3 linked regions of the Coturnix japonica genome follow. The protein of the gene in region 3 interacts with the protein of the main gene of each other region in a biochemical or structural test. Links are inferred from orthologs where the notes say so. Each region holds a gene or a part of one and is shown on either strand. Other genes may lie near its edges. The genes, in order: SYNRG, CLINT1 and AP1G1.

Region 1 (2,857 bases), on a different chromosome or scaffold from region 3:
GAGAAACCTGTGGAAGAGCTTCCCAAAAAAGTATGAACGTGTAAAAAAACCCATTCTTTATAGAATCATTCTTAGTTGAGTGTGAAAGGCTGAACTGCTAGCTGGCCTTCAGCTGTCATTCTCAATTGTACCAATCATGAACCCTTTTCTTCCAGTCATTTTTTTTTTGTCACTGTTAATACTTGATCCGATCAACTAACATGCTCTACAGCCTCCCTTTTGTCTCGTCTGCATGCTCGTACCTCGTGAATAGCTTTCTGGTTTTGTGCTCCTTCTGTTGTGTGGTAGAAAAGTCCCTGCAGTGAGTTTCTGAGTTCATAGCTGCCTGCTTGTCTGTTGCAGAAGAGGGGGGAGCTGTAGGGGTTTCTGCTACAAAAACTGACTTTTGTCTATATGCAGCAGGCAGTGGCATTTTTAGAAGTCTGTGCAGGAAATCCAGAATCTGAGAAACATGTTTAGAATATTTTTTAAGTAGGTAGTTGTAAAGCACTGGAAACTCTGCTGAAGTAGGAACAGCTGCTAAGTGTTCTCTTTCAGAACTGGGAAAAAAAAAAAAGTCAACATTATTTCACAAACAGTCTAGATTTATTTAAAAATAAAAATTCAGTTCCCCCTCACATTTAAGCAGTATCTCCTAGCAACATACGTGGAGATATTTTAAGCTTGTTTGTGGCTTCATGCACTCCAGTCATAAAGCAGATTCAGTTACCAGAAGAAAGTGGACCAAACTCAGCCTGGAGTACGGTAGGATAACATTAGCACCAGCCTCAGTCACAGCAGGGTCTGACCCAGTGGAGGCAGCGTGGCAGAACTAGCTTTGTTCTGGAAGGTGTATGGAACGCAGTGAGTTGCAAGTGTCAGATGGGACACTACTGATACGTGGTGTAACAGACAAGTGTGCATCAGGAGTATGCATACAGGGCAGTATGTTTTGCCCACCTGCAGACATTTTGCAGTCAGAAGAAAGCATTAGTTTGGCTGCTGTGCTTCTGCAAGTGAAGATTGTTTATTCCACTTTGGAGAAAGAGGGTCCAGGCTCTACCATGATTTACCATTCTGGGGTGATCGTCTGCGTTATGTCCATTTTCCACTCTAGTTTCTGGAGCGTGGAAGAGGTGAGACGGTCACACTTGTTTCAATTCTTGTTACTCTAGGCCTTTAATTCGGAAACGGATAATTTTAAGCTGGCGTATGGAGGGCACCAGTACCATGCGAGCTGCGCAAACTTCTGGATCAACTGTGTGGAGCCAAAGCCTCCTGGTCTCATTTTGCCAGACCTGCTCTGAAAGCGGTTGAGCCAAAGGTGGAGGATCAGGTGAAATGATAACATGCAGCGCTTGGGTAAATTGTGTGATCGAGTGAGTGGAAATGCTTCTTTGTTTGAAATGCTTCGTTTTGGCTTTTGTACAATCACAAGTTCAAGCCACTGTCACACAGAAATTCAGCATGAAGAATTCTCCTGGAAATGGCTGGAGTTTCAGAAATATCTGGGAAAATTTGTCAAGTGGCAGAAAATGTGGCATTTCAATCTTTACCAAGATGGATGCGAGCTGGCCTTTGTCAAACAAACAAGCCGTCTGCTAACCAAAGGCAGACCTCAGAGAGGACATCCTTAGTTTCCAAGGTGAACTGGAATGTTAGATTGATTTGCATAGAAATGACTGCTTAAGTACTCCAAGTTCATACTTGCAAACAAATCTTTTCTTAATGTTTTTGGTGTCTGGACCATGATGTTTTTCTTTAAATATTTGCTGCTCTTCTATTACATGCACATAGTGCACAAGTTGTGGTTACTTTCAAGGCAAAAGGAATTACTGATAAAGGAGGAAGTAGATGGTAGAGAGACATTCTATATTCATGCTTTTACCACTCTGAATTGTAAATTATGCCATATTTAAACACATAAGTGGTTAGTACTGGAAGATAAGAACTTGGAAAAATTGTTTAAGATTTCCCCTTTATATCCAGGTTCTTTAGTGCAGACAGCTGGGTTTGAGAACTTGCAATCTGTGCTGTTCTGCTGCAAACACTAGGTCATGTCCTTTCTTGGACTTGTCCTAAACTACAGGTTGGGTTCGTTTTGCCCAGTGCTTTGGTGGTTGTGTGGCTGCATCTCTGTTGAAAATTGGACTCCACTGTTGCCACGTGTCTGTTCCTGTATATATTACCTTTTTGTATGTTAACATGCTTTCCTTGATGAGATGCCTGCATGTAACATGTGCACTCTAGTGCTGTCTGTAATAATGCATTTTCCTGACTCCCAGAAGTGGCAGCACAGGTGGGCCTCAGCTCCTGCTGGGGACAGGTGTGATCTCACTCTGGAAGCTGGCTCCTCAAGCAGGCTGTCTGCTGAAGCAGCCTGTTGTCAATCTGCTGTTCTGTTGCTTTCAGGAGGGGGACCTACCTAAACAGGACAAAGTCTATTGCAGACTATTGCAAAGTGTTACCCAGACATCTGAAGTACCTGACTCTTTCTTCCAATACAACATGCAAATGACAGTACCACCAGCGGCTACTTATGGAATTTTAAGCCCAGTGGAAGCTCTATGGCATTAAGAGCTTTACCTCTGTACAGTTCTGCTCAGTTTGCAGAGAATGCAGCATGGTGTGTATCCATCAGGTACAACTTGTTGCTTAGTTCTTTGACTTAAGTCAAAAGACCCTTTTCTCCAAGGATATCAATAGCTTTTCCAGCTTTGCCTTGCCTCCATCGTGAGTAACCGACACTGACCCAAAATTATTTGCTGAAATTGAAATTATAAAGAGGAAAATGTTGCCTCCTTGGTGGAAGAGGTCAGAGAACACTTCAGGATAGTTCAGGGCATTCACAAGTCAATGGGCCCCAGTGGGATGCAGT
Region 2 (3,752 bases), on a different chromosome or scaffold from region 3:
GAGCTCAAGGATCATGCAGCTCCAACCTCCCTGCCTGGCAGGTTGCCCATGGCCCCATCCAATCTGGCCTTGAACACCTCCAGGGACGGAGCATCCACAACATCCCTGGGCAGCTTGTTCCAGGACCTCACCACTCTCCTAGTAAAGAAAGGCAGATAACATCCCTTAATCTCCTCCATAAAGAATTTTGTAAGTTGTGGCCTTAAGACCGAAGACATTACGGCAAATCTGAACCACACACAATGAGGCTATTGATTCTGATGTCTCTAAATACGGTTCACTCTTCAGGCACTGCACTTTACCCCCCTCTTTTTCTAAATTAATAATTTTCTTTATTTGGACAGAGTAATTCCCTGAAACAGAGGTTTACTCAACAAACATTTTGATAATTTGAAATATTCATTTCTTGCACTTAATTTGGAAACCCAGTGCATTTTCCAGCAAAGACTGTGATGCACTGTTAGGCTCAACAGCTTACAAAAATACTCTTGAAAGTAAGCATTTTTAATATAGCAACGGTGTTACAATGCTACTACTACACAAACTGAGGTATGTACGCAAAAGTCAATGCTGCCTGAAGTTTTTCAGTCCTGGAACTTAAGATGGGTATCTATGGGTTATTCCATATAACAGAAGACAGTTAAGAACTGTTCAGATCACAGAATCTCAGAATGACCCAAGTTGGAAGGGACCTCAAGGATCATGTAGTTCCAACCCCCCTGCCTGGCAGGGCCACCAAACATACACCTTTACTAGATCAGGTTGCCCAGGGCCCTGTCCAACCTGGTCTTGAACACCTCCAAGGACGGGGCATCCACAACCTCCCTGGGCTCCCAGATGTTTTTTAAAGCCCCAAAAGGAACCTTGATTTTGAAAGATATGCTGTCTGACCTGTAAGCCCAGACACAGATATTAGAACACACAGACTCATCCAGTGTGTAATCACCTCCAAAACTTCAGCAAACTGCTCCTGTAAGAAGTTAACAGCTCATGGAAAAGCACTCCTAGTTCCCCCCTAAAGACATATTATTTAAGGAGGCAAAATGTGATCTTCATTATGTTCTACCACCACACGGCTTTTTCCTTCCCCGTGGAAAAGAAGCGTGACTGCAAAACACAGCGATAACGTCACAGCAACATCACGAGGGCAATAACTACAAGGAAGTAAACCTGCAAATATCTGAATTACTAAAAAAAGTGTAAGGGTGGGGATGGTGCATTTCATTCCTCCAGGAGGAGGAATGAAAGGCCCAGGGGTGGTGGTGAGTCAATGGTAACTGCAGCAGGGCTCGGGCCTCAGCAAGGAGGAAAAGGACTGAGTGAACGTGGCAGCTTTGGCAGCACTCCGGTGGTTCCCTGCCATACAGGTGGTTCCTCACACCCCTTCCTCCTCCTGCAGTGACACGTCCCCAGCAGGCAGCACACTGACATTGAGGGCTCACAGATAGAAAGAGGCACGGAAGCCCCGAGACCTCAGTAGATAAGGGGGGGCATCCAAAGGGGACACACAGCTCGTCGGGAGCTTGAAAGGCCCTAAAGAGCCCAGCAGGGCCTGGAAGGCAGCCTGCCATAATGGGAAGGCCACACGCTGCTTAGAAGCTGCCGCTGCCCAGCAATGGGGCCAGGAGGCAGCCAGGGGGCAGCCAGGGGGCACCTGGCCCACATAGGGAGCGGGGAAAGAGAACAGTGAGGGCAGGGGTCGGCCGGGCACGGAATGGGAGAGAGGCAGCCAGCTCAGCAGGGGGAGGAGGGACAGCGGCCATGTTGAGAGGGGAGGCTGAGGGGGAGGAAGGGGAGAGAAGAGCAGGCTCGACTGAGGGGACGCCACCAAACCACACCAGCCCCCCCGCCCCATCCGCCCGGCCCCTGCTCTACTCACGCCTTGTCCACCAGCTCCCTCACTTTCCACATGTTAAGCATGGCGCCGATAGTCCGGAGACCTCCTCGGTCTCACCGCGTTCTGCCGTCGGCCCCAGGAGGCTCCTCACACCGAGCCGCCGAGCCAGGCCCGCTCCGGGCAGCCGCCGCCTCTGCCAAGCGAGGGACGCGCCGCCGTTCCCGGAAATGGACGGTCCCCGGAGCGCGCTGCCTGCTGGGAGATGTAGTCTATCCGCCTGCCGAGCGGCTCCGCAAAGCCTGCTGGGAGTCTGGGTGCGGAGAGACGTCTCAGCGCGCAAGGGATGGCGGGAGTTGTAGTGCGTGGCTCTTCCCACACGGGAGCATGGCGGCGGCGCTTCACCTCGCGTTACCTCACGCCATCTCCCTTCCTTTAGACAGGGCCGAAGGAAACGCAGCGATACAGGGCGGTGGAAACGAGCTTTTGTTCTCTCTTTGAGCAGCCACAGCCCTCACACCACCCTCACAGCTCCAAACCTGTGGGTAACTCTCACCTGGCTGCCAAGTGAAGCACAAACGTAGGGAAGGTCTGTACGAATTGCTGTTAAACCTCAAAACACAGGTGGAAAAGTTGTGTCTGACTGGATGTAAAAGCTCATTACACAATGGCATTCTGCCTTACAGACTGTTTCTTTACCGGTCAGTGCATTGCCTGAGTTATAGCTGAACTTGCTGGGTTCAAGGCCTGCAAGAGGACCAGAAACTGGCAGAAAACAAGGGACAATCTTGTATGTTAAAACTTCCTTATCCATATTAACTAATTTAACATAGGTTTCACCTGGAGCAGAGTTTTCACCAAGCATTGAAGACCATCTTTAAATACTGCCTTTGTGGGAGCAGTGAACAGCCATTGCAGCTCGTTGGATGAAAGAAGTGAATCACACAGAATCACAGAATTACCTGGGTTGGAAGGGACCTCAAGGATCATGTAGTTCCAACCCCCCTGCCTGGCAGGGCCACCAAACATACACATTTACTAGATCAGGTTGCCCAGGGCCCTGTCCAACCTGGTCTTGAACACCTCCAAGGACGGGGCATCCACAACCTCCCTGGGCAGCCTGTTCCAGGGCCTAACCACTCTCCTAGTGAAGAAAAGTGAAGTCAGTTAAGTGACATTATGACCAGGATTCCGAGATGATTTCTTTACACACACTTGCACGCTCTATCAATTTGTTTTCATTGTGAGTTTTGAATGAACACATATGAGGGAGGACTTTCTTCTCAAGAGAAGTGGAAATTTGTTGGCTATTTCTGTTGGCGAGTCACAGGACAAAGCAGAGTGCCTGGGTATCATGGTTAGTCTGTAATTTATTCTTGATATCCTTCATATCTATTTATTTGTGTGTTTTGTCTAACTGCAGTATTTATTTGTAAATTTTATCTAAGAGCAGCATATAATCATAAACATTTGCCTTCTGGTTTAACTGCTTAAAGTGACCCGAAAAAGCATGAGAAAGATGGATTCTAGCTTGTAGGTCAAGTAATAGTTGCATCTTTTGATAGTTGGTAGCTCTTTGAATTGATCAAGAAAGCTGAACAGCTGATCACCAGCTCATATTCTGACATCCCTCTGACTTTTTACACAGGTACTTTCACACCTTCTGTCTTCTGAACATCTCAGTGAATACTGTGGGAAATCTAATTGAGCAAAAGAACATCTTGAATGAATTATCCAATGTAGCATCCTCTCACTAACAGTAAGTACTATGTGTTTATATGAATAATGCAAGAACTGGTGAATGTGAATGGATTAGTCCTGAAATATATCTTTCTCATTTTCAGTTTTCTGTGATTTGGTGGCTTGATTCTGGAGTACTGGTCTTAGAACTTTTGTTTAGGAGTCCTGGAAGGACTTT
Region 3 (3,652 bases):
TGGTAGTATATTTTTAAAAGTACATTTTACTTCCATTTTGATGATATGGAAAACAAAGGCTGAATGACCTGCCCAAAGAACCCAGCAATGGAGTAGCAAAATCAACAGTAAGTCTGCTGTCTTGAAGAAACAATCCACTGTTGACCTTCCATTACCTCATATACACCAGTTAAGTGAGATCAGAGCACAGAAGAGAAAGATAACACATATGGACAAGAATCATCAGTTTAAAAAAAAAACAAACACTTGGAAATCCAGAGAAAAACCTCAAGAATACGTCATGCTTGATATACACTGGATTTTTTTCTTTTTTTTTTGCACTTCAGTGGGTACATCTACCCAGGGAGAGAATCACTGCTCTCTTAAGATGTCAAAAACAATTTTGATGTTTATGATCTGTAACTAGTTAAATTTTAGATACAGATACAGTCAGATATACTTAAGTTTTTATGCTGTCCTGTAATTCTGTAACTTCTGTACAAACTTCAGAAATTTTAGTAAACTCACATGCACTGTAGCCACTACAAACATCCCTTGCGTCACGTAGAAATATATCAACTCTGTTCTAAAGTATAAAGGAAATTCCTTAGATAACACATCTAGCTGCCAACTTACACTCAGATGACTTCAGTTAAGCTGCTAACCAATTTTTAACCTTAAAATGTTCTTAGTTCAAAAATATAGCCACTAACATTACTACACACTGAAATATCTCACTCTTAACAGGTAATTAATCACATACTCATACTCACCAGACTGCAGTTTAACTACTGCTCTGCAAGACACATCTGCAGCAAGGAGCAGACAGCCTGGGTAAAGCAGACTAAGTTTCATAACAAAATACATAAGAACAGGTTCCAAGTAGAAAGTGCCTTTATCATAGTCAAAACTAACTAACACAGATTCAGAGGGTGTATGAGGACAGACCTCAAAACACCAAAAAGCAAAACTAGTCTTGCTCCAAACTAGCCCATGCACTCAAAACACACAAAGCATACTGGTACACACATAGCATAGCAGCTATGAAGACTAACCTACCTGTCCAAAATGTGCAGGGTATCCCAGCATGTGCATATACAGCAGCTTTGCCACATTTCTGCATCTGTATGTGTTATCTTCCTCTCGGAAGGATGACCGAATAGCAGCACATTCCTTTTGAATCATTTCACGTTCTTCTGCCTGGGTTCTTGCTGTCCGGATGGTCCGGATCAGCTCCCGCAGTCTGATGGGGGCTGGCATCCTCTGGGAGAAGAAAGAAAGAAAGAGATCTATAAGCCTTCTACTGTATCTGACAACTTCATTATGGTCTCAGTTTAGCATATTCTTCTTTCTTCCCTTACAACTACATAAATGTAAGAATTAAAAAAAGGCAGCCAGCTCCAAGCAGCATGGTTAAAAACAAACCTAAAGGCCACAGGAATCTACTGTACCTTCGAGGAACAGAAATTTTCACAATTGCCTTTCGAGAAACAGAAATTGCTAAGCTTTGAACTAGCTATAAAGTGAACATTACATGATTCCCAGTCTGGAATAGGTAAGAACACTACTCAGCAAGGCATGTTCATATTTTCTGGCTCTTTCTGACCAAACAGCCCCTCACATTCCAACTGCCCAATAATTTGCACAGGATACTTCAGAATGAGAAACTTCAGACTGAACTATTAAAAAAAAAAAAAAAAAAGAAAAGGAAAACACAGTTTTAAATGTCTTGTAAAATTTAGGTAACTATGCAAGAGTTACTGCAAAGTAAGCTAGAGCTCCTGTTTAGCATGTGCTTTTTTGTTGGCAGCTGTTGTCTGGACGTGCTGCTTTACTCTGTAGTAATTTAGCAAAAAGCAATAAACATAAGTGCACAATGGCACTGCAGGCTGGTAACACACTGACAGTCACAGCCCGCTATGCAGCCCCACAGCCTGTCTGTGGGCACGTATCTTTGGAGGTGAATGTAAAAAATTACAGGATGAGTTTTGTCTATTTCAGAAGTTATTCTGGAATCAGGTAAGATGATGCCACCTCTCTAAATTCATAACATCTGTTGAGGTTTAGCTTTCTATTCGATGTGCTGTGTTGGTAGAGGTCTTTGAGGCTCCTATAAAAGTTCCTCTTAATTAAAGTTGGTCCCTCACTTCAACTCAGATCGCTCTTTGACATGAAGAACACCATCTAACAGTTCTTCAGTGTCCTACATGGGCACAGACGGGAAGAAGATCAGAAACACAATGGCCCTACCAGGTCTGACCACAGCAGCAGGATCCCATGGAAGGCTGGAAGAGCCAGGTCAGCATGCAAACAAACACTTCTGTTCTATTGCAGTCTGCAACAATTTGCAGCATAAGAACTTCTAAAGCGAAAAGAAATAATGCCCAGTAAAATAAAAATAATAAACAAATGACTCTGTTTTTATTTTGAATCCAGGTGAACTTCCAGAATCAACAATATTCTGCAAGTCACAGCTGGAGTTCCAAGCACAACACAGGGAAGGTGGTTCATTTGTTTGTTCTGCAGTTTCAAGTCCTTGTTGCAGCTGATGCCCCAAATAGTTCAATGGAGATGATAACAAATTACCTAGTTAGTAATACTGAGGAACTCCTAGTTTTACACACTTCCATGGCTACTCCTCCCCCACCTTTTCAATCCGAGACCTGCAGACCCACATCTGAACCAATCCATGACTGGTTATGCTTATTGCCTTGTCTGCATGGTCCGCAGTTCTCCTGCATCCTTTCCGAAACAGGGGAGGAAAGCATGGCACCCAGCATTTAAAACATCGCTGTGCCACATTACTTACCAAGAGTCCCTTCTCTTGTTTCCCCAGCCTCTCCCTGTGTGTGGTTGCTACAAAGTGTTCTTTTTATGTAACAGTCTGACAAACCCCAAAACATCCCGCTTAAAGCCCAGAATTTTAAGTCCAGTCCCCATTCCATAGCCCCTCCCCTTCAAACACACTGTCAAACTGCTTTTGACACTGGAAAACGGGGAAGAAACTGAAATAAAATTAAAACACCACTGCAGGCTGTTACAATCGGAAAGATTAATGCAGTGGAAGGGCAATACAGGAGTGTAACAACAAAGGGACCAGCACAGACAGGATGGCATTCCAACGGGAAAATAAAGGAGCTCACCCATCTCCAAAGACCCAGGCCCACAGGAAAGACTCCACTAGGAGGAATCTCCAACCAGAGATCCTTCCCCAGTGGCAGTCAGCCCTCAGTGCCTGGATAGGGAGCAAGGAGACATGGCTTAGTACTTTTCTGTAGGTATGGTAAAGGGAGGATGGTTGGACGAGATGATCTTCTACGTCCTTTCCAACCTTGTGATTCTATGATTCTAGGATTCAATGAGTTCCAGGCGAGGTGCAGCCAGGCTCCGCCGCTCCTGGTTGCACAACTCAATTCCGTCACCTGAGCTCCCAGGGCTGGGTTGTCCTTCCCCAGGTGCTCAGAGGTTCAGGCCGTCACTCAACAGTTACCAGGCACAGGCACACACCTCTGCAGCCCACAGGCAGTAACTTCATCATCATTAATAACAATGTCTTTATTAATAATCACTTATGTGTACGCTCACTCTGAAAGAGGAGATTGATCCCACTCCTTTCATTGGTCTATGAACAGCATCTCCAGGACCCATCATGACAGATGAAGCCATCTGTACA

Evidence for each region.
Region 1: the proteins of AP1G1 (region 3) and SYNRG form a complex in vitro, tested with the Homo sapiens proteins (2 studies listed by BioGRID). The link is inferred for Coturnix japonica from reciprocal best matches to the Homo sapiens genes AP1G1 and SYNRG.
Region 2: the proteins of AP1G1 (region 3) and CLINT1 form a complex in vitro, tested with the Homo sapiens proteins (2 studies listed by BioGRID). The link is inferred for Coturnix japonica from reciprocal best matches to the Homo sapiens genes AP1G1 and CLINT1.

Annotation. Positions count from the first base shown.
Region 1 is NC_029534.1:7,340,117-7,342,973, reverse strand, and holds part of SYNRG (synergin gamma), read left to right. Parts: coding exon 1-30; intron 31-1,154; coding exon 1,155-1,286; 3' UTR 1,287-2,857. UniProt on the Homo sapiens protein: Plays a role in endocytosis and/or membrane trafficking at the trans-Golgi network (TGN). May act by linking the adapter protein complex AP-1 to other proteins. Component of clathrin-coated vesicles.
Region 2 is NC_029528.1:12,966,743-12,970,494, reverse strand, and holds the start of CLINT1 (clathrin interactor 1), read right to left. Parts: upstream 2,108-3,752; 5' UTR 1,921-2,107; coding exon 1,880-1,920; intron 1-1,879. UniProt on the Homo sapiens protein: Binds to membranes enriched in phosphatidylinositol 4,5-bisphosphate (PtdIns(4,5)P2). May have a role in transport via clathrin-coated vesicles from the trans-Golgi network to endosomes. Stimulates clathrin assembly.
Region 3 is NC_029526.1:17,664,235-17,667,886, reverse strand, and holds part of AP1G1 (AP-1 complex subunit gamma-1), read right to left. Parts: intron 2,342-3,652; exon of another isoform or gene 2,230-2,341; intron 1,243-2,229; 5' UTR 1,240-1,242; coding exon 1,039-1,239; intron 1-1,038. UniProt on the Homo sapiens protein: Subunit of clathrin-associated adaptor protein complex 1 that plays a role in protein sorting in the late-Golgi/trans-Golgi network (TGN) and/or endosomes.